Linked DNA regions of Coturnix japonica. The protein of the gene in region 1 purifies or fractionates together with the protein of each later gene. This does not show direct contact. Links are inferred from orthologs where the notes say so. Each region holds a gene or a part of one and is shown in the gene's direction. Other genes may lie near its edges. The genes, in order: PRPF4, SART3, SNU13, GPHN, PRPF4B, MEPCE and EFTUD2.

What was found.
Region 2: the proteins of PRPF4 (region 1) and SART3 purify together in Homo sapiens (affinity purification with mass spectrometry; 5 studies listed by BioGRID and IntAct, counting the BioPlex papers as one, with this or other methods). This does not show direct contact. The link is inferred for Coturnix japonica from reciprocal best matches to the Homo sapiens genes PRPF4 and SART3.
Region 3: the proteins of PRPF4 (region 1) and SNU13 purify together in Homo sapiens (affinity purification with mass spectrometry; 4 studies listed by BioGRID and IntAct, counting the BioPlex papers as one, with this or other methods). This does not show direct contact. The link is inferred for Coturnix japonica from reciprocal best matches to the Homo sapiens genes PRPF4 and SNU13.
Region 4: the proteins of PRPF4 (region 1) and GPHN purify together in Homo sapiens (affinity purification with mass spectrometry; 3 studies listed by BioGRID and IntAct, counting the BioPlex papers as one, with this or other methods). This does not show direct contact. The link is inferred for Coturnix japonica from reciprocal best matches to the Homo sapiens genes PRPF4 and GPHN.
Region 5: the proteins of PRPF4 (region 1) and PRPF4B purify together in Homo sapiens (affinity purification with mass spectrometry; 3 studies listed by BioGRID and IntAct, with this or other methods). This does not show direct contact. The link is inferred for Coturnix japonica from reciprocal best matches to the Homo sapiens genes PRPF4 and PRP4K.
Region 6: the proteins of PRPF4 (region 1) and MEPCE purify together in Homo sapiens (affinity purification with mass spectrometry; 4 studies listed by BioGRID and IntAct, with this or other methods). This does not show direct contact. The link is inferred for Coturnix japonica from reciprocal best matches to the Homo sapiens genes PRPF4 and MEPCE.
Region 7: the proteins of PRPF4 (region 1) and EFTUD2 purify together in Homo sapiens (affinity purification with mass spectrometry; 4 studies listed by BioGRID and IntAct, with this or other methods). This does not show direct contact. The link is inferred for Coturnix japonica from reciprocal best matches to the Homo sapiens genes PRPF4 and EFTUD2.

The regions. Positions count from the first base shown.
Region 1 is NC_029532.1:813,639-817,766, reverse strand, and holds the start of PRPF4 (U4/U6 small nuclear ribonucleoprotein Prp4), read left to right. Parts: upstream 1-1,328; 5' UTR 1,329-1,364; coding exon 1,365-1,439; intron 1,440-1,621; coding exon 1,622-1,799; intron 1,800-1,993; coding exon 1,994-2,180; intron 2,181-2,377; coding exon 2,378-2,465; intron 2,466-2,681; coding exon 2,682-2,761; intron 2,762-2,979; coding exon 2,980-3,073; intron 3,074-3,645; coding exon 3,646-3,740; intron 3,741-4,037; coding exon 4,038-4,096; intron 4,097-4,128. Other genes in the region: anaphase-promoting complex subunit CDC26, read right to left, coding at 894-1,067, 1,155-1,235. UniProt on the Homo sapiens protein: Plays a role in pre-mRNA splicing as component of the U4/U6-U5 tri-snRNP complex that is involved in spliceosome assembly, and as component of the precatalytic spliceosome (spliceosome B complex).
Region 2 is NC_029530.1:5,666,967-5,671,101, reverse strand, and holds the start of SART3 (squamous cell carcinoma antigen recognized by T-cells 3), read left to right. Parts: upstream 1-1,335; 5' UTR 1,336-1,590; coding exon 1,591-1,758; intron 1,759-2,996; coding exon 2,997-3,123; intron 3,124-3,709; coding exon 3,710-3,814; intron 3,815-3,964; coding exon 3,965-4,135. Other genes in the region: ISCU (iron-sulfur cluster assembly enzyme ISCU, mitochondrial), read right to left, coding at 561-671, 1,005-1,118, 1,195-1,281. UniProt on the Homo sapiens protein: U6 snRNP-binding protein that functions as a recycling factor of the splicing machinery. Promotes the initial reassembly of U4 and U6 snRNPs following their ejection from the spliceosome during its maturation.
Region 3 is NC_029516.1:45,199,715-45,203,952, forward strand, and holds SNU13 (NHP2-like protein 1), read left to right. Parts: upstream 1-1,438; 5' UTR 1,439-1,561; coding exon 1,562-1,564; intron 1,565-2,149; coding exon 2,150-2,270; intron 2,271-3,190; coding exon 3,191-3,453; 3' UTR 3,454-4,142; downstream 4,143-4,238. Other genes in the region: MEI1 (meiosis inhibitor protein 1), read right to left, coding at 1,029-1,152, 1,290-1,433.
Region 4 is NC_029520.1:27,356,529-27,360,028, forward strand, and holds part of GPHN (gephyrin), read left to right. Parts: intron 1-1,745; coding exon 1,746-2,018; intron 2,019-3,122; coding exon 3,123-3,230; intron 3,231-3,500. UniProt on the Homo sapiens protein: Microtubule-associated protein involved in membrane protein-cytoskeleton interactions. It is thought to anchor the inhibitory glycine receptor (GLYR) to subsynaptic microtubules.
Region 5 is NC_029517.1:63,515,824-63,519,323, forward strand, and holds part of PRPF4B (serine/threonine-protein kinase PRP4 homolog), read left to right. Parts: intron 1-322; coding exon 323-396; intron 397-1,808; coding exon 1,809-1,899; intron 1,900-2,569; coding exon 2,570-2,717; intron 2,718-3,500. UniProt on the Homo sapiens protein: Serine/threonine kinase involved in spliceosomal assembly as well as mitosis and signaling regulation. Connects chromatin mediated regulation of transcription and pre-mRNA splicing.
Region 6 is NW_015439878.1:132,682-136,776, forward strand, and holds the start of MEPCE (7SK snRNA methylphosphate capping enzyme), read left to right. Parts: upstream 1-1,295; 5' UTR 1,296-1,395; coding exon 1,396-2,610; intron 2,611-3,469; coding exon 3,470-3,688; intron 3,689-4,095. Other genes in the region: ACTL6B (actin-like protein 6B), read left to right, coding at 183-269, 361-441. UniProt on the Homo sapiens protein: S-adenosyl-L-methionine-dependent methyltransferase that adds a methylphosphate cap at the 5'-end of 7SK snRNA (7SK RNA), leading to stabilize it.
Region 7 is NC_029542.1:768,950-772,449, reverse strand, and holds part of EFTUD2 (116 kDa U5 small nuclear ribonucleoprotein component), read left to right. Parts: intron 1-1,014; coding exon 1,015-1,078; intron 1,079-1,443; coding exon 1,444-1,534; intron 1,535-1,925; coding exon 1,926-2,061; intron 2,062-2,341; coding exon 2,342-2,469; intron 2,470-2,963; coding exon 2,964-3,157; intron 3,158-3,500. UniProt on the Homo sapiens protein: Required for pre-mRNA splicing as component of the spliceosome, including pre-catalytic, catalytic and post-catalytic spliceosomal complexes. Component of the U5 snRNP and the U4/U6-U5 tri-snRNP complex, a building block of the spliceosome.

The DNA.
Region 1 (4,128 bases):
CAGACTTGAATTCTGACTGTTCCAATCAGAGAAGGATAAGTTGGAACTATGCAGTAGCTGCGGCTTTTATAACATAAGTTCAGTCCTGCTTGCTTTTCTGCATCACTGTATGTGCATCCTCCCTTGAAATCATCTCTTTTGAGGGTTAGTAACTGTTGACAGTCCTGAGGAGCCTCCCTGTGCCCCAGCCTCCCTCCTGCCCACCTGATGCTGTTTGCTTCCCCAGTCTGAGCAAAACCTGCCCACTGTGATACCGACTTGCACTTAGTGCGTTGGATGTTGGATGCCATCCTGGCCTTTATGCTGGCTGTATTTCAAGCTGTCCCAGTGTTAACACTAAACTTGTGTTGAGTGGTGCTTAGAGGGAGGTGAGGACTCTAATATTAGATTATTAGACTTGAGTAAATGAAGTTCACGTGTCAGCATATGTAGCATGCTTAGAATGTGATCGCTGTGTCTGTGAGTGCACCCTGATACTTTGTCTTTACATGTCTGTAGGAAGCACAGTGTATCCAGGCTGTGTTCATCCCTGAGCTTCTGTTATTTCCCCCAGTGCCTTCTCAGTTGGTCTGCAGCCCCAGCAGACCCAAAAGGACGGATAGTTTTGTTTACAGCAGACTGTCACTTTTGATTTTCCTCTTGCTCTTTGTGAAGGTAACTTATCTAGTAACGTATCAAAGATCTCCTGTATATAATTAACTAATAAAGCAGATGCATTTTACTGTGGCTGTGTGCTTTAAAAACAACCGTCAATGCTGCAGCTGTGCTGAGTGAAGGCTTTTACTTCCCCGTGCAACCAAAGGAGACCCAGGAGCTGGTGTCGGTTTGTAAAAAAGCCCATTTATTAAAACAGCCTCGTGTGGCTCCGTTCGGTACCGGGAGCAGCGGCACCGTCAGAACTCGAACGTGCCGAAGTGCGCGGCTCGGACCCCGGCCTTGTGCTGCGGTTTGTACCCGATGCGGTCGTTGATGAGCTGCTCCCGGCTCTTGTGCTCGGCTCCCAGCGCGATGCCCGCCGCCTCCTCGCCGCCCGCCACGTCCGCCTCGTCCCGCTGCTTCTTGCGGCTCTGCGGGGCGGGGGGGCCGAGTCAGGGCCCCGGTGCCCGGGACAACCCCCGACCCCTGCCGGTCCTTCCCCTTCCGTCCCCGCGCACCTCCAGGTCCTTCCGGACTCCCTCGAACTCCTCGATATCGTCCAGTTTCAGCTCCAACCTCGTTGGTTTCCGTCGCAGCATCGCTTCCGCCGCCTCCCGGCCCCTTCCGCTCTGTCACGCACCGCCCGCCCCTTCCGGTTTACCCGGTGTGACCCGCCGCTTCCTGTCCGTCACCGGAAGTGCTCCGTTAGGCCGTCGGGCAGCGCAGTGATGGCGGCCGTGCGGGCACCGGTGGCTCGAGGCGGGGCGCGGCCTGCGGCTGTGAGGGGCCCCGCACCGCCTGAGGTACGGGAGGAGATGGGAAGGAACGGAGCTGGGAGGGCTGTGACGGGTCGGGCTGTGACCGGTAGCGCTGCGGCTTTGGGGTGTTATCACAAGATCCTGTGGTTTCCGTGCCGTGTCCGTTATGAGGTCAGCTCTGCACTCAGCACACACGGATTCCTATCGGTTCTGTCTTTCCTTTGCAGCCCACGAAGAACAAACCGTCCGAGGATGGCGATGCTCCCCCCGCCAAGAGGGCGCCCATCTTCTATGGCAGCCTGGAGGAGAAGGAGCGGGAGCGGCTGGCCAAGGGGGAGCCCGGGCTGCTGGGGAAGGAGGGAATGAAGGCGGCCCTGGAGGCCGGGAACATCAACATCAGCAGCGGTGAGAGCACAGCAGCATGGGGTGGCCTTTATTTAGTGTAATCGAAAGTCACTCCAATAATATCTGAGCATACATTAGGTTTGATAAGGGGAGGCTTTTCCCTGGGTTGCCAGCTCTCTGTTGGGATCTTCCTGTTGGAGGAGGATCTCCTGTCCAGCTCCTGTGTCCAGGCTGATGGTTTTGCTTTGGTGCAGGTGAGGTCTTTGATCTGGAGGATCACATGAGTGAGCGACAGGCCGAAGTCTTGGCTGAGTTTGAGCGCAGGAAGCGAGCCCGGCAAATCAACGTCTCCACGGATGACTCTGAAGTGAAGGCCTGTCTGCGAGCCCTCGGGGAGCCCATCACGCTCTTTGGAGAAGGTCCCGCAGAGAGGAGGGAGAGGTGCTGTGTCTGCCCTTGTGTGTTGCAAAGAGGGAACGCTCAGCTTCCCCCACTTTATCATATTCCCACTGTTTTCCTTGTAGTTGGCGTGCAGCGAGTGCTGCCGGTCTGTGTTTGGTTACAACATAACAAGAAAGAATGGAACACAATGAGTGTTTGTCCACCAAGTGAACGTAACCTAACGTGTTTCCTTTCAGGTTAAGAAATATCCTCTCAGTGGTCGGCACAGATGCATTAAAAAAGACAAGGAAAGATGACGACAGGTCGAAAAAGTCTAAAGAAGAGGTAATGATTTCTCAGTGCCGGAGGAGATTTATACAGTCATCTTTGAATACCTTATTTTGGTGGTCTCTGAGACATTCAAGACCTGGTTGTGGTCAGGGTGCAAATTCTAAAATCATCCCTTTCTTTTTCTTTGTTGCCCATTTTAGCAGAACTGTCAATGCACTGTTTAAATCGGCAGCATTAAGCTTTTTTTTGGCTTTGTTCTTTTCCTTACAGTATCAACAGACTTGGTACCATGAAGGACCACGGAGTCTGAAAACAGCAAGGCTGTGGCTTGCTAACTACTCGCTTCCCAGGTAAGGAAAACTAACATCAATGAAGGGGAGAAGTGCAACATTTTGTAAACTCTTAACTACTAACCACATTGTGGGTAGTGTAGTAAATTTGAGATCAAAAGAATGAAGAACATGTTCCGGTAGACAAATCTGTTAGCCCAGTAATGGGGAAGTGAGGGTTTCTAGCAGCAAGGCATGGGAAATGTGAACATCTGGTACTTGATCTTTGTTCTTCACAGGGCAGCGAAGCGTCTGGAAGAAGCCCGGCTGCTCAAAGAGATTCCAGAGGCAACCAGGACATCGCAGAGACAAGAACTGCACAAATCCCTACGAGTAGGTTTGCCATCTGTTCAACTGCTGCTTGTGAACGTTTTTTCTTGAATTTCAAAGAGATCAGAAGGATCGAGCTGCCTGGAGGGGCTGTCCAGATGTGTGTAATTTGCTGTGCTGCGCCTTGAAGAGCTTTGCATTTTCTCTCTCTTCTAGTGGTACTCGTGTTCTAGCTCTGTTTCTGCAGTTGTACAGAGAAATCTGCTTTTGTTGTATTCTAGCACTGCAGAGGGATGCAGAGACACATCCCTGTGTTGATTTGCCTCTTACCTTTGAAGCTAAACAGATTGCTTCTTTTCAGTCAAAGCTTGAGTTGCAAAGCAGGGCATCAGTATGATTGGTGGCAAGTATGGTGGGTGGCATACTGAGTGCTAAGCTGAGCCATGGAGCTGTGCTAGTTTCTCTTAGTCAGATAAACTCCATAATCCTCCTGCTTGGGGCTAGAGTAGCTCTGAGGTAACATCTCTCTTTGGAAGTGATTTCCCTGTGGTCTCTGACTTCTGCTTCAGTCACTGGCCAGGACTGTCCCTAAGTCATTTGTATTTATTCATTGTTTTCTCTGTATTTTGTTGCAGTCCTTGAATAACTTCTGTAGTCAGATTGGGGACGATCGCCCGCTGTCCTACTGCCACTTCAGTCCCAATTCCAAACTCTTGGCTACTGCCTGTTGGTAAGTTCTCTTCAAAGCATTTACTTTAGGGCATGGTGTCCAGTCTTTTGGCTTGCCTGGTCCGCACTGAGTGTTTCGTCTCTATAAACATTCAGGAATGTCGATGAATGTCAGCAGGTGCCATTTTGTCCTCAAGGAGGAATTCAGTGACACACCTTTTGCTCCATGTGTGTTTCCATGTCAGATGCTGTTTTGTCAGACTGCCACTTTCCCACTGCAGAAGCCCTTGGTGTAGTTTGTTTGATAAGCTGTTTGATGTTCCTGTCTACACTGACTTCTGTTTCTTGTGTTCAACAGGAGTGGACTGTGCAAGCTGTGGTCTGTGCCTGACTGTAACCTTGTTCACACCTTACGAGGTAAAGAATGACTTTCACTGATATCCTGTGTA
Region 2 (4,135 bases), on another chromosome or scaffold:
TAAGAAAGGCCTTTCAATAATACCTGTTTTATTCTGCTCCTGCCAAGCAACAAATCTGCAACCTACTACAGGGAACCTCCTTTGGCAGAGGAGCTGGACTAGGTGATACTCAGAGGTCCATTTCAACCCCTGATTCTATGAAATATAAGGAATGTCTCAAAGTGTGCAGTGCTTGTTAATAAACCAGAGCATTATTTTACTGCTGACCAACTGCAGGGACTGTTCCAGGTTTGTTCTGCTGTAATATAGAAACAACCTGCTTGTCACAATGCCAAGCACACGGAGATCAGCCAATGGAAGACATTCCACTATACAAGTGCTTTCTTTATCTATTTTCGATTGCTGTGTAGCACCCAAAGCTTCTTCACAGCTTATTGGAGACTTCCAGAAAAGGCAAATATTGCTTTAAAAGTCAGGAAAGATGAAACTGCATTCTGAGCTTCTATGTGAGTGTAACACCTGGAGAGCACCTCTCTAGACCCCTGTTTCCTTCCCTGATCCCAGCAGTGGGTGTGAATATGTACCTGCTCCCCACTGTGCCCCTTAAGCCAAGCCCTTACCGTCTTCCCTTTCACCCACTCTGTTGCCAAGGAGCTGGAAGCGATGGCAGAACCACAACCGAAGGTTTTGAAGCGAGCATCAACAATGCGGCCGTTCTCATCCACTTCCACCTGTGGGAGTTATCAGAGGGGCGCTCAGTTCCACGTAGGAACCACACACAAAGGGACAGCGATAGGACAGCGAGTTTAAGGCTGGGGGTTTATCGGATTTTAGGGCCTGCAGAGGGACTTTAAGGGACAATGAGTTTAAGGCTGGGGGTCTATTGGATTTTAGGATCTGCAGAGGGGCGTAAAGGGACAGCGAGTTTAAGGCTGGGGGTCTATTGGATTTTAGGGCCTGCAGAGGGGCTTAAAGGGGGTGTGACGGAGGAATCCTATGTCACAGCCATATGGTGGCAGACACTGATGGTTGTGTCCTTACAGGGCACCCCGTGCTCCCCTCACCTGCAGCTTCATAACGTCTCCACAGGCCGGGGCTCCCACCAGGCCCGTACCCACGTTCTTTGCGTTGCGATCGAGAGAGCCCACGTTCCGCGGGTTCTCGTAGTGATCCACCACCTGCGAGAACAACGTGTCACTAACAACCCCCAACGGGCACTATGGGCTCCCCACAGCCCTACCCGGCCCCTCTCACCTTCTTGTGGTAGCCCGCCCCCCCCACCGCCGTCGCCCCCCGCCCGGGCCGCAGCAGCGCCGCCCCCGCCGCCCTCAGCGCCGCCATCTTGAGTCTGCCCGCACCTGGCAGCGGCGCTCTGCCCCAACCCTCCCGAAGGACCCCTGGAGGCCGAGGCCCTGAGGTGTCCGTGGCGCTGCCTCTGCAGCAGACTAAATTATAAGGAGTAACGGGCCGAGCTGCTCGGCTTTTCGTGGCAGTTGGACGCGGAGAAGAGCAGAACCTTGTCGGGAGAGTTTATCGTCCTTTCTTTCACCGCTTTTGGCTGGGGGGAATGTACAATATTGAGACAGGCGCGCAGTAGCCAACCCCATCGGCTGGCTGAGAGCGGCCGGCAGCGAGGCGAGCTGCAACAAGATGGCGGCGGCGGGAGCCGAGGCGGCGGTGGAGGAGGAGAAGCGTGTGGTGGAGGGAGACCCCGAGTCGGGGGGGGATTCGGAGGATGAAGGCGACTCGGATTCATCAGGAGACGGCGAGGATGAGGAGAAGGAGAACGAGGCGGAGATCCAGCGGCTGGAGGAGCAGGTGGGGCCCGGCTGTACCGTGCTTTGGTTATGGAGATCTGGAAACGCCTCCGGGCGTGATGCCTTTTAATTCGCTTTTTATTCCTCGCTTCAGGGCGAGAGAGACTCAGGGAGCAGCCCTGGTATGTTGAAAGTGAACTCAGATGGTGGTTTCCTTAGTGATCTTGAAGGAATTAAAACGCGTTTGCTGAGGAGGGCTCACTGGGTGTTAGCGCTGTGTCTGTACTTGGGGGCTCTCGGGCCTTAGGGCTGTGAGTTCAGTCTTCTGCAGAACTTTAAAGCCCAGCTTTAGTAACAGGGATCTTCTATGAAGGGCTGCAGAGGTGGTCGGGGCCTGCAGCTTCTATTTGAGGAGCCCTGAGGCTGCCCTTGAGGCAGGAGGGAAGGCTGAGGGAGCAGCACTTGTCAGGGTAGAAATCGTGAAGATGGGGCCAGGTTCTTTTCAGCCATGCCCAGCTACACGATAAGGGGCAGTGGGCACAAACTGGAACCCAGGAAGTTCTATCTGAACGTGAGAAATAACTTCTTCGCTGTGAAGTTGACAGAGCCCTGACACAAGCTGCCCAGGGAGGTGGTGGAGTTTCTTTCTTTAGAGATGCTCAGGATCCACTGGGATGCTTTCTAATGCTACCTGCTGGGGGGAGGGTTGGACTGAGGGATCCTCAGAGGACTTTGCCTTTTCCTGTCACTTACAGTTCTGTGATTCTGTGTAACTGAGCAGGGAGGTGAATGTCTGTCTGTACTTGGCCCTGGTGAAGGCAAGGCATCTTAAGTGCTGCGTTTAATTTACTCACTACAGAAGAAAGGCATCAAGGCCCTGGAGCATGTCTGGAGTAGGGCAGCAGAGCTGTAAAGGGTTTGGAGTACGAGCTATATGGGGAGAGGTTGAGGGAGCTGGGGATCACAGAATTGTAGGATGGTTCTCCACTACTCCCTGAAAAGAGGTTGTAGCAGGGTGGGAGTTGCTCTCTTCTCCCATATAACAGCGATGGGACAAGAGGCAAAGGCCTTAAGTTATACCAGGGGAGGTTCTTGTTGAGTATTGGGAATGACTGCTTCTTCAAAAGAGCAGTCAGGAATTGAGACAAGCTGTCCAGGGAGGTGGTGGGATCACCATCCCTGGAGGTGTTCAAGAACTGCAGGGATGTGACACATAGAAAACAGTGTGTAAAGTTCTGTTCTGCTGAGTATTTGCTGACTTCTGCAAGCCTTTAAAAACTTCCTTTATTTTCTTTAAAGCTTTCCATCAATGCTTTTGACTACAATTGCCACTTGGATCTGATAAAGCTGCTCCGCCAAGAGGGAGAGCTGGTGAAGCTCAGAAGAGCTCGGCAGAAGATGAGTGAACTCTTCCCACTTACTGAAGGTACAGAGCTGCTTCTCCTTGCAGCTGGTAATACTGATGAAGCATCATCAGTGTGAAATACTCTTTGTGCCAGGTTTCAGCCATGCTGTTCCAGCCTAAAGGATCAGATTGAAGCTCTGAACTCAACTTGAAGCAGGCCTTTCTTTTTATTTATAGTTAACACTGTAACAATATAAATACCTGGCAGTGGGCTTTTAGCTTTGGCAAGTGAAGGTTTCCTCTTAGGCATGTGGGAACCTGCAGCCTCTAAAGCCATCTGCTGTTTCTTGTAAAAAAGAAGGAAACTGTGCCACTCAATGCCTCTTTGCTGGCCTATGTGCATTCTCTGTGCATGGTGCTGACCAATTGCTGCTCACAGCTTCATCTCTCTTTAAATAGAAGCATACTTGCTTAGGACTAGGTTGGAGACATCAGTACCAAACTTTTCATTTAAACTAATTGTGTGTAGATGCGGGGACTTAAAATTGCTCTTTTTCTCCCCATTTTCTCTATCCCCATTTTTAAGCCTGTTATTAAAAAATAACCAAAAATGTAAAGGGAAAAGTTTTTTTCCAAGCGTTGGTGACTGTAAACTTCTTGGTTTCAGAAATCTGGCTGGACTGGTTGAAGGATGAGATAAAAATGGCTTCTGAGATCTCAGAGCGAGAGAAAGTTTATGAGCTGTTTGAGAGAGCCGTGAAGGATTACATCTGTAAGTTCTTAATGTGTGGGAGTTAAAAAAACATTTAAAGGTCTATTATACTGAATAGTAAAGACAATTTCTATGCCTTTGGATAAGTATTTGAGATGCCTTTGTATTTTCGAGGACATCAGCTCTCCTGTTTCTCATAACTTTGTTTAGGTCCTGAAATTTGGCTGGAATATGCCCAGTATTCAATCGGTGGCATTGGTCAGGAAGGAGGAATTGAGAAAGTTCGCTCAATATTTGAGAGAGCATTGACAGCGGTTGGGCTGCACGTGACAAAAGGAACAGCTCTGTGGGAAGCGTACCGTGAGTTTGAGAATGCCATCC
Region 3 (4,238 bases), on another chromosome or scaffold:
GTATAGGGTTGCATGCAGACAGTGCTCAATAAAAATCTGTGTGACCAAGAGAACGCAACCTGCACAACATTCTAACAAAGCTGTTTTCAATGTGCAAAGCACAGTTTGTGCTGGGAAACCAGCTGGGAAACACAGCTTGAATTATTCAGTGTTGTGGCAAGGGAAGGGGCTTGTAAGTCACCTCGCGCAAAGCACGTATCTGTGATGTGCAAATGAGGCTGTGGACTTCAAGAAACCCAGTATAATTGCTCTTTGAAAGCATTTGCATTCATAACCTCCACCTTTTTCTTCCTGCCTGACTGTTCCCTCATTTACACCATTATTTCTCTTCTGACAGGATTTTAGAGATTTCAAAGACCTTACCCACAGCGCTGCTGTGCAGAGACAGTGAGAGATTACTGAGATCGGAAGGACCACTATTGGAAAGGCACTTTCTAACATCTCTTTGCTCTGCTAGGAGGCTGACCCACCAGGAAGAAACAGGTGTCACAGTCCTATGGCTAGAAGGATTTCAGCTAATATAAAGTGACAGTGGGAGAAAGAAATACCGTACTATTTGATAGTAAATCCTGTAGCGCCCTTTTTAAGTTCACACTTCCATTTCTGTGTGGATCTTAGTATAGATGAGAAAGCACTGAGGCATGAGACCAGAACAGAGGGTGTTCTGGGAAGAGCCATAAGCCAGAGCGCTCAGTTCTCCATGAAGGTTAAAGATCTGTGAAGATGCTCAGGAAAGCTGTGGGAGCTTTATTAACATGCCAGTTCTGCTCCTTGGGGGAGAGGGAAATTAATTACCCTATTCTAGTTGGAATGAGAGGCCCTTTTCTGTGGGGAATAGCAAGATGTAATGGAGAACATTGGCAGGAGCATGGAATTGGGTATTCCAGTGGTCTACTGCCATTTTGTTGGGGGAGCTGAATGTGGAGAAGCCTGGGTCAGGGAAATCCCAGATTCTTCGAGGTCCCTTCCAACCCAACCCTACAAAAAGGGAATTCCTTGGTGCTGTTAGGCCGTGTGGGAGCTCTTACCGAAGAGCGTTCCTATCAGACAGAGGCAGCCCCTCTCGTCTGGAGCCAGCAGCTGGACGACCGGCAGCGCCTGCCAGGCCAGGGCATCGCGCAGCCGGGACAGCGCGTGTTTCTTCCGCACCAGCTGCGGGTGGGAGACAACCGTCAGCATCCAGGCCTGCCCGAACGGCACTAAAAGCGTTACCCCGCGTTCCGTGCCCCTGCCTCAAGGCAGCAGCGGGCTGCGGGGTACCGAGGCCTACAAGGAAGGGGAAGCCGCACCGAGGCGCCGCCATCGCCCAGCGTCTCCACAGCGCAGGCGAGGCACAGCGGCGGTCGGAGCGGCAGGTTCCACCTCGCACCGTGCCGATCACGCACGCTCTCGCAGCCCGCCGCCATCGCCTCACGGCCGCTAGGGCGCGCCATGGGCAGGCTCCCGGCGAGGCACGGCCCGCCTCTTCCCTCCGCCGTTCCCTCAGTTCCGGCGGCGTGCGGCCCGCTGCGCGCACGAGCGTTGGGCCCCGAGTGTCCGAGAGCTGCACCGCGCCGCCGCCATGGTGAGCGGGGTCGGGGGGGAGGCGGGATGCGCCGGGCAGGGTCCGCTCCCCTGCACACCGAGGCGGCGGGCGGGCAGCGGGGAGCACGTGGGGGCCGCGCTGCGTGGGGCTGTGCCGAAGGGCGTCCGTGGGTGGGTTGTGGGCTGGTACACGTGATACACGCATTCATAGGTGCATGAGGGGAGGTTGTGGCGAGGTGGGGGCAGCCTCTTCTCCCCGGTAGGAGCTGTAGGATGAGAGGTGATGGCCTCAAGTTGCGCCAAGGGACGTTCAGGTTGGATATCAGGAAGCGTTTCTCAGTAGGAGCGGTGCTGCGGTGGCACGGGCTGCACAAGGAGGTGGTGCAGTCACCATCCCTGGAGGTGTTCCAGAGCCGTGTGGATGTGGCACTGAGGGATGTGGTCAGTGGGCATGGTGGGGGTGGGCTAAAGGTTGGACTGGGTGATGCTGGTGCTCTTTTTCAACCTTAGTGATTCAGTAATGGACTACACGTGGTAGACATGCTGCCTCTCTAATGCCCCTCGGAACAAACTCTTTTGCCCCTGCTGTACCACTCTCCCATCTTTCCCTTTCTCCGGTTTCTAGAGTGAGGCAGAGGTGAACCCCAAAGCTTACCCACTGGCTGACGCGCAGCTCACCAAGACGCTGCTGGACCTTGTGCAGCAGTCCTGCAACTACAAGCAGCTACGCAAAGGAGCCAATGAAGGTGGGAATACTGTGTGAAGCTGTGGCTGGAGATTGTATTTTCTTCTCCAGCTGTGGCCATGAATATTATATAGCTCGGTCTGGCACGAGTGACCCTTTCCTTCCTCCTCTTAGATGCTCAAAGTGTGTTCCTGGTGCATATACTGTGATCATATATGATGCGGCACTGAGATGACCAGGTGTCTTGCCAGCTTAAAATCATAAGATAACTGGGAGTTGAGGGGAGCTCTGTAGTTCAGACAGCTCAGAGAATGTCCCTTCACAGCGTGACTGAGCTGCTCAAGGCCATATCTGGTTAAGCTTCATCTGAACAAAATAAAAGTCCTTAAGCGTGGAAACTCCACAGTCTCCTATGGCTTAAACTGCTCTTCTGCCAGGATTTTTTTTCTCCTCATATCTCCAGAGTTTCCCCAAGGCAGCAGTCAGAGTCTGCAGTCACAGTCCTTTAAGCTGTGCGTTCATGGGGATAACCTGGCTCCATCCTCGCTGCAGTCTCCTTGGAGTGGCAGAAGGCAGCAGTCACTCTCCTCCATCCCACCTTGGCTGGTTCTTCTCCAGTCTGCACAGATCCAGCTCCCTTGGTCTCTCATCTGCAGAGTGCCCCAGCTGCTCTCCCTGTGCTGGCCTCACTCCTTTGTGAAGGATGCAGTAGCTCAGATGTGACCCTATGAATAATCCCTCCCTGGGACCTGCTATGGGTTTTCCAAGGGTCAACTTCCTTCTTCTCATGGGTGCACTGCTGACCACAAACTGTTCATTCTGGACTTGGAGCTGTGCTATTACATGGCCCTGTAGCTGATGGTTTTCTTTGGCCTGCCCTCTTGCTGCCCCTTCTTGCTCGTGCTGACATCAGCATCTCCTAGTGTTGTTCACAAGATGTGCTTCACAGAACCTAGACTTACTTTCAGTTTCTTTTTGCAGCCACCAAAACACTGAACCGAGGAATAGCAGAGTTCATAGTGATGGCTGCCGATGCTGAACCCTTGGAGATCATCCTGCACCTACCTCTTCTCTGCGAGGACAAGAATGTTCCTTATGTGTTCGTGCGCTCCAAGCAGGCCCTAGGCCGGGCGTGTGGGGTTTCCCGGCCTGTCATCGCCTGCTCCATCACTATCAAGGAGGGATCGCAGCTAAAACCTCAGATCCAGTCTGTACAGCAAGCTATAGAGAGACTGTTGGTCTGAGCGCCCTTGAGCTTGAGTGTGTGTGGAATGGGTAAAGGTGAAGTCAGGGGGAATTAATGTCTAGCTTTAGTTAATGACGTTATAGTTTTGATATCAGTGTTCCATTTCAAAAATCACATCTTTGTTTAATAGCGGCTTAATTCTTCAAGTGTCTCTGCCTCTTCTCCCCTCCCTTTCTCTATTATTCCACTCCAACTCTCATTCTCGTTGTATTACTTCTTGAAAAGTGATTGTACAACTGTATTTACTGTTTGACGTTCAAAGGAAAAAAAAATCCCCTCCAATCTCCATATCTGCCTGCTCAGGGCTTTTGTAATCTACCCATTAGCTTCCTAATGCTTCAGCCTCTTACAGGTGTATCTTTGTTTCAGAATGGTTTATTCTATGGGGGAGTAAGGTGTGTTGGTTCCGCAGCACAGTACGTGTATTTGGGCTGCCAGAGTTGTTGCTTTGAAGCGAAGCAGCATAGACTAAAGTGTAGGACTGTGGCTACTGTGTAGCAAGCAGCTGGTGGAGCCAGGATCAGTACACATAGCACAACCCTGCCTTCAGATCAGGCAAGAGGCTTCTCTAAGAGGGTGTATGGGGAGCTGACATCGTACGGCAGTGCACAAGGGGAAATCTCTAATTTCACTTATTTTTAAATGCTGTTTTTTTAAAAAGAAAATAAAATTACTGACAAATCTAAATACAGGAACGGCCAGAATTGTTATTCTCAGTTTTCTTTGCATGGATTGCAACAGTGATCTGCAAAGCTTGGGCTTCCTAAGACATTTCAATACAAA
Region 4 (3,500 bases), on another chromosome or scaffold:
TAATAATTAATGTATGTTTTCATTATTTGTAGTCAGATCTCCTTGCTTACTGCTTGCTTGAGATCTGCTTTTTCACTGAAGTAAGGGTGGTTGTATACCTCAGTGTTTTAAACCACTTTTAAAATAGTACTTTGGAAGGTCAGTAACTGTGAGCTTTACAGTTGCAACAGAAATTATATTTCTTTATTATATTTAAAAATAGATTTTTCATATATATTCATTATATGCAGCAGTTCTTGCTCATCTGCTTACTTGAGTTGTTTAGAGTAACAAATCAAATGTTTATAGAATTTAAATACCTGAGTAGTAGTCTGACTTTTCATTACCCCCAGAGGTATGATTGAAAGATGGATTCTTATTTAGAGGTTTTGAGGAAATAGTGTTTGTGAGTCATGATTCTGACTTACAAACTGGGTCATATAAATTCTGCTATTCTCTGATGGACGGTTTGTTAACATAGTCATTTTTATTTATTGAAAATACTTGTTACTGTATCTGCTTAAAAATATTTATCATTATTTAGTTTTTGCACTCTTTAAATTCCAGTATTACAATTTTGAGAAGTCTTCTTTATGGTTGAAATGAAACAAAAGATGAAAAGCGATGAAAGGAATAACATCAGCTACCTTGTCAACTCTAACTGTACTGCCTTGGCAATTCATTATTGTGACCTTGCCATCATTTTCCAGTAATTCAATATGTCTATGTAGTGAGCAGACGAGACATGAAAACCCCTTACTCTAAGGTGCCTGGGAAGAGGATGAGTCATAAATTGAAGAAGGGGAGCTTCCAACTGGATAAAAAGATAAAGAAAAAATCACTATGAGGATAATTACTCATTAGAACAGGTTGTCCACAAAATTTGGGGAGCTTCGGTTCTTGGATTTTTTCAAGACTAGGCTGAACAAACCCAAAGCAACCTGTCTGAATTCAGTATTTTAATGACTTCCTGAGGTTCCTTGCAACACGAATGATTCTTTTATTTGGTGAAATAACTAAAGGTAGCTAGAAATATGTACACCTGTTGCAGAGCTAGAATGGTTACATGGCATCTGTGTTTTTTCTCCGACTGTACAAAATAAACTTTTTGATGGCTTTTAAATCACGGAGCAAGGAGAGGTTTGAAAAATAGATTACCAAAGGTAAATTTATTTTAGTTACATAAAATTATAATGACATCAGTACTGCCTGCGAGGCCCAAAGGATAAGTTCATGAATTAAAAAATAAACAATAACGTTATTTAAAAGTACAATTATGGCAATTATTATGAAACATTCTCAAATTGTGAATGAGTGTAACAGAAGTTATTTGAAGCTAATAACCTTGCAGAGATAGAGTTAATGTTTTTATTCTGCCTTTCTGTAATAATACTGCCAACTGCCATAAATGTGCTTCTGCTTTATGCATTCATTAAAATTTTAACTCTTGTTTTCCTACATTTTAATCCAGTTTTAGATTAATTGCATTAATTCTTGACTGTTGTACTGCTTACTATGTTTGCATGAAAAGGACTAAAATATTTGAATCCTCAGTTCAGATTCTGGTGGGTTTTTTAGCTGGTTGGTTGTTGGGGATTTGGTTTGTTTGTTTTTCTAAGAGCATTGGTAATGGGCATTTTGATTTTCATTTACGATCAGGTGAAAAGATGCATCAAAATCCCCAATATCTCCTAAGAGCAAATCTGAAAAATCTTTATTTGCTTCTGCGAGTAACTATTCATAGTCATTTCTCTTCTTGTGCATAGGAATGCTTTCAATTTATACTGCCAGCCCTACCTCATGCCATCGATCTCTTGCGAGATGCCATTGTAAAAGTAAAGGAGGTACACGATGAGCTAGAAGATCTACCTTCACCACCACCTCCTCTTTCTCCTCCTCCAACCACCAGCCCTCACAAGCAGACAGAGGACAAAGGAGTACAGTGTGAGGAAGAGGAGGAAGAGAAGAAGGATAGTGGAGTTGCATCAACAGAGGACAGTTCCTCTTCACATATAACTGCAGCAGCCATTGCAGCTAAGGTGAGTCTGGCTTGTTTCCAAGACACTCTTTAGCTTCGCACAGGTACTTTCCACCAATATTCATTTGCATGTCAAGTCTATACGTCAATGTTGATGTGCTCAAACAGATATATTTTGGATACATTTCATAGAAATTTAGCATCCTAAGAGTATATGAATGTTGTTTCAGTAAATGATCACCGATTTCATTGGAAGATGCATTGTTTATTATTTAGATTGCAGGTTACATTTTAATTATATTCTGATATTATATTCTGACTTGACAGAGCATGTTTAGTGTTAGGTTTAAAAGAAACGATCAGAAATACTCAGGCTCCTGGATGTGCACAGTCCAACTAGTGACATACTAAGGAGTCACAGCAAGATTCACTAACTTATATTTTCCATTTTGTAATGACGCTTGGTTTTTAAAAACATAAAAAGTATGACAGCTACGTAGCAGGTTAGGTCATAAGCTATCCAATCTACTGCATGAGAAATGTGAAATTCTGTCACTAAATTAAGTGTCATCATGTTGTCTTTAGAGCCTCTGTGTAACTACGAATTATAGGTGATTGTTACTTCAGCGTTACTCAGACCAAAATTATGAATTGGAGACTACAAAAGGAAAAAGAATGACACTCATTTATTACAAATAAATGAGCTCTGTATTTACTTGCTGTACTTTTAATTCCAACTATGGGAACTGAATGTGCACATAACTCAAAATGCTTATAAAGAACTTCTAAAGCAAAGCAGCAACATTCAAACTCCAGACGTGTGAATTCAGGTCTAAGACAGCTACAGCTGGAGATCATCGTTTTATGGAAAATCCTGGTTGTGTATGTCTTTAAAAGGCTGAATTAAGGAAGTTATCAGATGCAACTCTGAGTTTTTATTAATGCATTTTTTAAAATTCATTGATTTATTTTAATATAGACAAAGAAAAATAATGTATGCAATTTTAAAGACAGAAATTATCTGACATCTAAACAGGCTGTGTTCATGTGAGCTTGACATTTCAGCTTCACACTTGTTTTCACCTCATTGTCTTTCAGTCATTTGCTTGTTTGGTCTCATATTTTCCTGTCACTGTATTCATAGCTGTTATGTGTTGTGCATTAGAAACATCCATCCTACACCAGTTCAGCAGTTATTATGGCAAAAGGTGAACAGCCCATTCCTGGTCTCATCAGTTATTGCCATCATGCGGCAGGCAGTGCAGAAGAACCGGTAAGATGCACTTCCCAGAGGCTTTTGCACTAACAGTAGTTAAAATTACACTGCCTGCCACCTATTCTAACAGTGTTACTTTTTCTTATTCTAACAAATAGATATCAGTGCTATCTGTCTTTTAAAGAACATGCTACAGAGAACATTCTGCTTAAGATACAAAACTCAACAGGATAAATATCATGTGCTTTTCTGTCAATTGGAATTATTTGGCTGCTGAGATAAAAAATTGCTGTAAAGCCTGTGTTTCTGATGAGTCATCAACTTTAT
Region 5 (3,500 bases), on another chromosome or scaffold:
TTAATGTATATTTTTGTGCAGTCACTTGTGAGGATCATACAAAGTATGTACCTTTCCTTCCTGCTGTGTGACTTGCTTGAAAGCTGTTATACTTAATTTTTCAAGGAGGTGCTATTTTGGTTTTTGAGTGCTTTGACGAACTTGACCACCTCACTTTATGTGTATAATGTAAATCAGCTCTAACTTTTCTTGCGAATACTTTAGTTTGCCACCATGTTGATTTTGAGATTGCACTGTATCAATATCAAATCACAGTTTACATTGCTAACTGTTGTGCACTTGCCATCTTCATCGCCTGGAATAATGTGAGTTTCCTTTCAAGGTTCAGCTCAGAAGAAACTGCTAGCTCCGGATATGTTCACAGAATCAGATGATATGTTTGCTGCGTACTTTGATGTAGGTAATCCTTAGAGATGAAATGCGCGATTCTTTTCTTTCTTGCTTTTTTATTGAAGGGATGCTGTCACTTGAGGTTTGTGGGAACACTGAGCTGTAAAAGCAAAGTAACTGAGTTGATAATTCTGATATTTTGATCAGTTGAAGCAGACAAAGTAGCTTCTAATATTTCGGTGAAAGAAAACCTGCAGTTGGTAGGGTTTGGGCCAAACTAAACAACAAATTAGGTATTTCACCTGCTGTTCAAATGAGAGCTGCGTGGCACACACAGTAACAAACTTCATACTAACATTTTATGTTAAAGCTGCCACATTTTACTGTTCTTTCAGAGATGCGTACTTTCCTCAGAGGTTCACATAATGTTAATTACAAAGCCTGTGTAATGTATTTTAATTTGCTCATGACATGCTGTAGTGATGTGGAGGCTTCTTTTTGGATGAAGAGATGCATTTCCCATTTCTACTTATTGCACTGTTTCAGCAGCTTTTCTCTAAACATGCTGAAGCAGCTTGCAAGTCTTAGCAGTCCCTTAAATACTTGTTGCTAGTGATACACAGTCACTGAGAAATAAAGTCAAAGCAGCAAATTCCTTTTAAGATGGAAATTCTCCAGTTAATCTTGCTTTATGGCAGATGAAATCTATTAGTTCTCAAAAAAGACTGTTGACAGAAGGTGTCACTGTAATAAAACCGACACACACACGGGCACACCGAAGGAGAAAGATAAATACTGCAGGAATAGTGGTCGTTTAGGTGCTCTTAAAAACTTTGGGATAACGAGTAGGGATTTAAACGGTTTGTAAGGAATCAGTTTCTGCTCTAAAAAAATTGTTGTTCAGTCAAAGATGTGTTTTACTACTCATGAATTGGAATTTGCAACAATATTGTCAGCTCAGTTAAGCAATGTCAGCAGTGACTGCAATGCTTCTGTGATTCTAAGTGTAACAGTATGGATTTTGTGAGCTGGCATTGAATGAACAGAAAGAAATTTGAGGCTTCAACAGTTACATTTATCCCCCAGATTGCTAAACTTTTATTACTACAAATATACTGTAAATAGTAAGACTAATTAATATAGTCCAAACTGTGTGTTCTAATTTGACTTGTATAAATTCATTGCAGGTAATGGTTGAAACATGTCTCATTTCTCATACTTAATAATAGTTCTGTTGCTTGTCTCTATTCCATTCCCTTGCAGTGGTTTTCAAGCGATGGTATTTAAGTAGCATTCAGTGTTCAGTAGTTTTTTTTCTCCTACAAGATAAATGTGTTTGTAGTGTGGAGAAGAGCATTGATTCAGTAGGAAAAAAGTGCCTCGTAATATGAACTTCTGATTTTTATAAATAAACGTTAAAGAAAATATACAGCTAGAGCACACAAGCAAAGCTGTTCCATTTGTTCTTTTTGCTACAGAGTGCTCGTCTAAGAGCTGCTGGGTTTGGAAAAGACTTCAAAGAAAACCCCAATCTCAGGGATAACTGGACTGATGCAGAAGGCTATTATCGTAAGTTTCATTTATTGGTTCGTGACTGTAGCAAGGAGGAGGATGCTAAATGGAAAAGAACCTCATGTCAAAGTACTGAAATGCTCTAACGTGAATATTCTGCTGTGAGTGCCATGCTGAATATGGTGTGCCCAAAGCAGTTTTCTCTTCTTGCATATTGTGCAGCATCAGGTTGCCCCTAGATATAAAACTATGGTTAGGGTAAAACTCAAACCTGCCCATAGTTAGAGCTGTCACATCATCCTCACAAAGGAAGGAAGGAATGAAGGAATGCTTGCCAGGATCTGAAACCAAGAAATTCAGCATCCAAGAGAATACGGGTGGCACTTGTGGTAGTCATTATCTAGGATTCAGAATGGAGATAGTGAGTGAGCAAGCATGTTTTACTTACTAGTCAGTGTTAAAGGCTCATTTGCAGGTGTAAGGGCCAAAATAAATTTACCTGCAATGGATGAAATGAGCATGCAGGTTTTAAACTCAAGAAGGGGAGGATTCCAGACTTGGAGTTGCTGATGTTGCCCATAATTTCCACAAAGACTGGTGCTAGTATGCTATGAAATTAAGTGATCATACTGTTGACATTATTTAGAACCATTTATTTTTCATAAAATGTTTCATTGTGCATACGACATGTAACTCTTACTTGAATTGCTTGATTTTTATCCTTCAGGTGTTAATATAGGTGAAGTTCTAGATAAACGTTACAATGTCTATGGTTACACTGGTCAGGGAGTCTTCAGTAATGTAGTACGAGCCAGGGATATGGCAAGAGCAAACCAAGAAGTAGCGGTTAAAATCATCAGGAACAACGAACTTATGTAAGTAATGTTTTTGTTTCATAATACTATGATAAAGAATGTGAGACTTTTGGAAGTTTTTTATGATGTGATTTGAATCTTCCTTTGTTTCAAGTGAAGTAACAGATTACAGCTGTGGTTCCTGCCTTTTCTGCTAATAGGAGCCATATAATTGGAAGCGCTTGAGGACTATGTATCCGCACTCACAGGAGAAGGGTACTTGCATTTTCATCAGGCACTTTCTCATTTGCAAAACTGCAGGGAACAGTGGTGGCAAGGAATAAGCTTGACATTGATTATGTTGTCTGCCCAGCCCTGAGATTTTTGAGATGGGAATCAAGGACTGTAAAATTCTGGTTGGATGAACCAAATCCATTTGGGAAGCTGTGGGTTGGTTACTAGTCAGTCATATCTAACTTAGACAAAGACGTTTCAGTGTTTCAGTGAATTATTTTTGCATATTCTCCGTATGTGCGCATGTGTAGAGGATACGAGAAAGTGATGATACTCTACCTATTGGAAAGAAAATCACTGGAGGTCTTTTAGACTGAGTGATCCTTAACTAGGGTGATGTTGTATTAAACTGTGTTAAGTTACGTGAGGATTCAGAATCTCTAATATTCATTTTCAGCATCTGCTGCCATATACCTACAGTCATGTGTTATGTACTTATCCATTACTGATAACTTAGATGGAAATATTTTCCATGCGTTTTACACCAGAAGTCTTAAAGGTTGTTTTGGTTTGTGTGCAACTGAGTTATTTTGAGCTATACGAATAGTACCTAGAAATATTTAGGGGAAA
Region 6 (4,095 bases), on another chromosome or scaffold:
GATTGACCCCCCAGCACCCCCGATCCCCCCCCACTGCACCCCATTCCCTCCCCTATAGCCCCCTATTGCCCCCCAGTCCCTCCCAGTGTCCTCAATCCCCATTCCAATCCCTCCCAGTATCCCTTTTAGTGCCCATCCTGGTACCCCCCATTCCCTCCCATTCATTCCCCCCCCTCACACAGAGCATGCGCCTGAAGCTGATCGCCAGTAACAGCACCATGGAGCGGCGCTTCAGCCCCTGGATCGGGGGCTCCATTTTGGCCTCCCTTGTGAGTTGGGGGCGATACAAACAACGTGGGGGGGGGGCAGCGATTTGTGCCCCCCCATCTCCCCCCCCCCGACCCCTCCCCATGTTCCCAGGGCACGTTCCAGCAGATGTGGATCTCCAAGCAGGAATACGAGGAGGGGGGCAAGCAGTGCGTGGAGCGGAAATGCCCCTGAGCCCATTAACCCTCGTTAACACGGAGCGAAAGAATGAGGAGAAAATAAACGGAACCGGAGCAAAAAGAGCCGATAAATGGAACCCCCCCCCCCAGGCCTGGAGCTGGGCGCAGGCCTCGATAGGCCGCACTGCTGTGAATGGGGGCTCAGCGCCTTCACAGCGGCACAGGGAGGGGCCTGGAGCCGCCTGGGCGGTTGGGGCCGGGGTTGTGGCCGCTGTTATTTCGGTGACATCTTTTTTTTTTACCAAAATCGCCCGTTTTTCCCTCAAAACGCGGCCTCGCGCCTCCGCTTTCCCTCCCGCCGCGGGAGCGCGCTCAGTGCGCACGCGCTTCCCCCTCAGCGCTCCGCGCCACATGTGCGCATGCACGACGCACAGAGGGCGCCCCACTGCGCATGCGCGGCGCGCCGAGGCTGTGCGCATGCGTCACGTGCGCGCGCCGACGGGTGACGCGTGCGCCGTGTGCACCCGGCGTCTGCGCACGCGCATTGGCGAAAGGCAGCCGCTCTGCCGCCCGTGCGTCCCGCGCTGCGCCGTCACCGTCCGGGATAACGGGGAGCAGCGTCGGCCGCGGCCAGGAACGGCCGGGAGCCCAGCTGCCGCTGTAGCTTTTCGTTCAGGCACCGCCGTGGACAGCCCAGAACCGCAAGGCCCCCGCGAGGCCCCCGACGCGCTGTGCAGCCATTGGTCGCTACCCCCCTCTTCCGCGCGCCACTTCCTCCCATTGGCCGCCGCCCACTCCGCCTCCTACCGATTGGCGCAGCCCTCCGTCCGCGCGCCACACGCCATTGGCCGTCTATCGGTTGGGGGGCGGGGCCCGTCGTGGCCCCGCCCCTCGGCTATATAAGGAGGCGCAGGGTGCGACTCGCCTGCCATCGCGGGAGGGAGGTGGCGCGCGCCGCACCGTCCGGCTCCGGCTCGTTGGACTCGGCGGTGGGCGGAGCGGCCGGGCCATGATCGAGATGGCGGCTGAACCCGACGCGTTCCGGGCCCCTCCGCCGCCTTTAAGGACCGGAGAACCACCGGGGGGGGGCGGGCCTGCACCGGGCGGCACCGACACCACCGGGCCCCAGCGGCGGAGGGGACGGGAGGAAACGGACGGAGCGGGGGAGGCCCCGAGACCCAGGAACGGCTTCAGAGCGACCGGAGGAGGCGGCGGGGGGGGCGGAGGGGGGGGAAAACGGCGGAGCAGCTGCACCGGATCCAAACAACCGCCGTGGAAACGGCGCCGGAGAGCGACGTCGGAATGTGACCCCGCGCTGCCGTCCGAGTTCCTGCTGGGGGGGAACATCTTCGACCCGCTGAACCTCAACAGTCTCCTGGACGAGGAGGTGAGCCGCACGCTGAACGCACGCACCCCGCAGTCATCACCGCTACCGGCACGAGGACGGGACCCCGTGGAGATCCTCATCCCGCGGGACATCACCGACCCGCTCAGCCTCAACGCGCCCGGGGGGGATGACGGGCTCCGTCTGGCATCACCTGCCAAAGCAACGCGACGTCGGCATCGCCACCGGGGTCAGCAACGGGGGAACAGCACCAACAGCACCAACAATAGTATGGAGCCAGAGAGCAGCACGGAGCACGGGAACACGGCCAGCAGCAGCACCAACACGGCTGGAAACAGCAGCACAACGTGCTCCAACAGCCGGCACCGTAAGAGGAGAAGGACTTGTAGTAAATCAGAGGCCGCCCGATCTACGGCGTCACCGGAGAAAGGGAAAGGGGGAAACAACGGCCCTAAAACCCCCACGACGGCCCCACGGCGCCGCAAGAGCCAGAAGTTCCAATATGGGAATTACTGTAAATATTACGGCTATCGCAACCCGGATTGCGAGGACGGGAGGTTGAAAGCCATGAAGGCCGAGTGGTTCACCGGGAAGGAGGTGCTGGATGTGGGGTGTAACGTGGGGCACGTCACGCTCAGCATCGCCAAGAGGTGGGGGCCCAGCAGAGTGGTGGGGCTGGACATTGACGGGGCCTTGATCCGCTCGGCCCGGCAGAACATCAGGCATTATCTGTCCGAAGAAATGGCCGCCGTGGAGGGAGGGGGGAGGAAGGGGTTCCCTGCGGCGCTGCTGGCCAGCAGGGGACCCATCGCTGCCCCACGGCTGCCCCCCGACGGGCCCGGAGCCTCCGACTTCCCCCATAACGTCGTGTTTGTCACGGTGAGGGGGCGGGGCTAAAGGGAGGGGGCGGGGCTAAAGGGAGGGGGCGTGGTTTGGGGGTGGAGCCAATCGGAGAGGCGGGGCTAATGGGCAGGGGCGGGGTTTGGGGCGGAGCCAATTAGAGAGGCGGGGCTAAAGGGAGGGGGCGTGGTTTGGAGGCGGGGCTAAACGGAGGGAGCCTGGTTTGGGGCGGGGCTAAAGGGAGGGGGCGTGGTTTGGGGCGGAGCCAATTAGAGAGGCGGGGCTAAAGGGGGGCATGGTTTAGAGGCGGGGCTAAGGGGAAAGGGCGTGGTTTGGGGCGGGGCTAACGGAAGGGGTGTGGTTGGGGGCGTGGTTAAGGAAAGGGGGCGGGGTGTTGGGTTGGGGCGGGGCTAAAGGAAGGAAGCGTGGTTAAAAGAGTGACATAGAGTGAATGGGCGGGGCTAAGTTTGGGGGCGGGGCTAAAGGCACAGCAGGTTTAAGGGGCGTGGTTAAGGGCGGGGCTAAAGGGGGCGTGGTTGGGGGGTGGGGCTTTACAAGGGGTTTGATTTTAATATGGGGTGTGGCTAAATGAAAGGGGTGGGGCTAAAGGAGGGGGTGTGGTTTGGGTTGGGGTCAATAAATGGGAAGGTGACACAGTTGGGGTGGGGGTAAATAGGGGGTGTGGCTAAAGGGGTGGTGCCGATGGAAGGGGGTGGTGCTTTGAAGGGGCTGTGATTAGGATGTACATGAAGGGGTGGGGCCACTCCCCCTTTTCTAAGTTCAATCCCCATCGTTTTTGAAGATCTCCTTTAATCTGTTATTTAACCCCCCCTACCCAGTCTCTTCCCCATTGCCATGAGACCCCTCCTAACCTCTCTCCCACCCATCCACCCCATAGGGCAACTACGTCCCCGAACGAGAGGAGGCGGTGTGGGCCCAGCGCCCCGAATTCGACGTCCTGCTGGTTCTGTCCCTGACCAAATGGGTGCAGCTCAACTGGGGGGACGAGGGGCTCAAAAGGTTGTTCCGTCGGGCCTACAGACACCTCCGGCCTGGGGGGCTGCTGCTGCTGGAGCCACAGCCATGGGCTTCCTACCGCAAGAGGAAGGGGCTGACGGTGAGATGAATGGGGTTATGGGGCACCAATGGGGGACTGGGGGGGATATGGGGGTTGGGGGTGCGGGATGGGGGTCTGCTCTTGTCTGTGGGATGGGTCCAGCTGTGAGCCTTTGGTTGTGGGACCCCTATAACCCTCCCCAAAGTCCCCAGCTGGACTGTGGGAACCTCCCTCAGAGCCTTCAGCTCTTTAAGATCTTCCCACCCATATCCTCCCAACCCCCTCATTGGAGCCCTATAACCCTCCCCCCAAATCCCCTTAACTCACCAAGACAACCCCCCCCAATCCTCCACTGCAGCCCCATAATCCCCCAAACCCCGCTCCAAAAGCCCCAGATCCCTCTCCTAATTCCTTCCAACACCCCATTGCCCCCACAGAACCCCTTATAACCTCCCCTCAGCTCATAG
Region 7 (3,500 bases), on another chromosome or scaffold:
GCTTGCATTAGTCAGCGATCCAGCCAAGTTCTGAAGTTCCACGTTGGGGGATTTGGGGTGATCTGTAGGAATGTTGTAGATCAGCTCTCGCAAAGAAGTTGGCCTGAGGGAGGACGAAGTTGTAGAGGTCAAAGACTGATATTTCAGGGCTATTGTGCACCTTCATCAGTTTGGAGAAATAAATGAGCTCCCTGGGCATCGCAGAGTGAACGCAAGATGGTACCCCCCTGCTTTTGGAGGCTGATAAAGCATTCAGTGCAGTCGGTGGGAGGTGTCATCATCCATGAGCTGAATGGTACTTAAGTCAGTAACATCCGGCGGTGGTCACCAGGGATTTTGATTGCAGCCACCACTCTTCCAGTACCGTGAGTTATGGTGGTTTAACTGTCAGAACTGCAGCCACCCTGAAATTTCTTATGTCTGCACATCTGCCCACAGCAAAAGCTTGTTTGGAAACCACTGTAAATTACAACCGCTGTCTTTTTATTTGTAAATCCACCATGACAGCCAAGCACCGTTCCTTCAGCACTTGGAAATGCACTTAATGCATCAGCTCAGCTCAAACAAGAACCTGGAGGTGTTCAGCAAGGCAGAAAATGCTGCGCTGAGCCGTCAGGGTGTCAGCCATCCCAGCACCTTGGCACCGCGCAGTCAGGTCATGGTGTTACTGGTTGGAAAAATGAAGCAGATGTAACTGGGTTCCTGCAGAGCTGAGTCTGACTCCTCTCAGCTGTAACCTCGTGTGTGATCAGGACAGCTGAATTGTTCCTGAGAGGGAGATGTGCAAACACACAGTGCTCCTGGGGGCTGCTGCTGCAATAGTCCTCACAGGGCTGTTTTCTGGCCACTTCTCTGCCCAGCTGCCCCAGTTCAGGGTTTAGTCAGTTACACTGAATGGGGACCAAGTGTTCACTCACCAGCATTGCACCAAAACCTCAGGGTCACTTTAAAGGGCAAAAAGATCTCCAAAATGAGAGAAATACTGTGTCTCTTATTCTTGCTTCTTCCTTTCAGGTGATATCAATTATCAGGAGTTTGCAAAGCGGCTTTGGGGTGACATCTACTTCAACCCAAAAACGTAAGAGGCCTGTTGAGGTGTCTGTTACTTTGTTCCTGTTTATTTTTTCCTCTCCCTCCTCTGTAAACTGGACTGGATGACCGTTTGAGGTCCCTTCCAGCCTGAGCTGCCCTGTGATCCTGTGGTGGGAGGAAAGGTTGGGTCAGTCCTCCTGCTTGATATGATTCCATGTTCTCCTGAATCATGAATGGGAGCAAAGAGCTCTTCTGACCCTTGTTTGGAGTAAGAGTGGCTTCATTATCCCTGAGTGCTTCCCAGGGAGGTTGGGAGGGGTAGATAACTCAAGAAGAGCAGTGGCTGTGTGCAGGTTGATGCCAGTTGCTTGTGTGCTTGCTGCTCACTGCTCTCTTTTTGTCTACCAACAGGCGGAAGTTCACTAAGAAGGCCCCAACCAGCAGCTCCCAGCGCAGCTTTGTGGAGTTCATTCTTGAGCCCCTGTACAAGATCTTGGCTCAGGTACATGGTGGTTTGTTATTCTTGCAGCTCCAGACCATGAGCTTGCAAGGACTGAGTGGTCACTAGGTGGTGGTGGTGTGTGATGCCTGCGGGACTCTTCACACATTTCTGGGTTTGAGCATGCATAGAGGTGATGGACTTCTCCTTACAGCTATTCCTTGCAGATATGGCCCTATGTCTGTGCAGTTAGAACTGCTTTTGCTCTTTGTAATGTGCTATGATAGCAGCCAAGTGATAAAATGAGCTGCCCAGCCTGTTTTGTGTGAGCTCAGTTGTGTGAGCAAGGCTGAGAGCAATACCTGGCAATACATTCGGGGCCTTCAGCTGCACCCAGGAGCCTGGGACTTGGGCACCTGCAGCAGAGCCAACAGTGGTGCCTGTCATCCTGCAGGTGGTGGGGGATGTGGACACGACCCTGCCTCGCACTCTGGATGAACTTGGCATCCACCTGACCAAAGAGGAATTGAAACTGAACATTCGACCGCTCCTACGACTTGTCTGCAAGAAGTTCTTTGGGGAGTTCACAGGTAAATCCTTCCCAGCCACAATGTTCCCAATGGCTTACCCTCATGTGGACGGAGTCTAAGGGCTGTAATGCAAACACAGAGTGTCAGCTTGCACAGATTCCTTTCTCAGCTTTGTTTTTCCGTGTATAAAATACAAACTGTTTCCTCAAAGAACAGCTTGAGATGCTGCTCACATCTTCCCCTTACTGTGGGTGCTCTGCAGTTGGGTTTAAGTTATGTTTATTGGGGTACATTTTATTTTTCTTCTACCCTGCTTGATCACGATGTATTACTTTTTCAGGCTTTGTGGACATGTGTGTGCAGCATATTCCCTCCCCAAAGTTGGGAGCCAAGACAAAAATCGAACACACCTACACTGGTGGCGTTGACTCCGATCTTGGGGAGGCCATGAGTGAATGTGACCCTGACGTAAGGAAGCTCTTTTATTTTGTTCTGAGCATCCAAAATGTGGCAAATACACCCCCCTTTCACTGCCTTGACAGAGCAGCTGCCTCCTGGACAGCCATCTGCACTGATTTGACTTCCAGCACTCTGAAACCTCTCATCCGATACTGAAACAAATCTCTTCACTCTGAGAAACTTTAGTGCCTGTCAGGGCAGCCCTTGGGAGATAGAACTGTTTGACAGTGTTCAGAACAAGAGTCTGGGTCAGGACTCTGGAGCATGTGGGCGCTGCAGGGTGATTCTGTGTCCTTTTGCTGCCTTTTGTCTCTTTTCCATGAAGTTTTATTCACTCTCCAACCTCCTGCATGAGGCTGATAAAAATAATGCTATATTAGCAAGTCACAAGAAGTATTTTTATGTTCCATCTCTTCGATCCAATTGTATCCATAGGTCCTACCAGGTCTGTGTCTGTTTTCTGGCTGTCTATTGAATATGGTTTCTTTCTTTTCCATGGGAAGGGTCCTCTGATGTGTCACACAACAAAAATGTACAGCACAGACGACGGCGTTCAGTTCCATGCCTTTGGCCGAGTGCTCAGCGGTACCATCCATGCTGGGCAGCCTGTGAAGGTCCTGGGAGAGAATTACACCCTGGAGGATGAGGAGGATTCCCAGATCTGCACTGTTGGACGCCTCTGGATCTCAGTTGCGAGGTAGGGAGAGCTCTGACAAGGTGTTGGTTTTTGAGAGAAGTCACTGGGAGTCATTGCTGTCAGAGACAGGGAGGAGGACGGTGCTGTCAGCGGCCTGAGGTACAGTAATAAGAGTGGATTTAATTTAGATATAAGGAAGAATTTCTGTACTGTGAGGGTGGCTGAATGCTGGAATGGGCTGCCCAAAGAAGTTGTAGGTGCCCCATCCCTGGAAGCATTCAAAGTCAATTGCATGGAACCTTGACCAACCTGATCTGGTGGGAGATCTTGGCTTCTGAACGAACAAATGATCTTTAAAAACCCTTTCCAACCCACACTGCTCTATGGTTCTGTCATCCTCCCA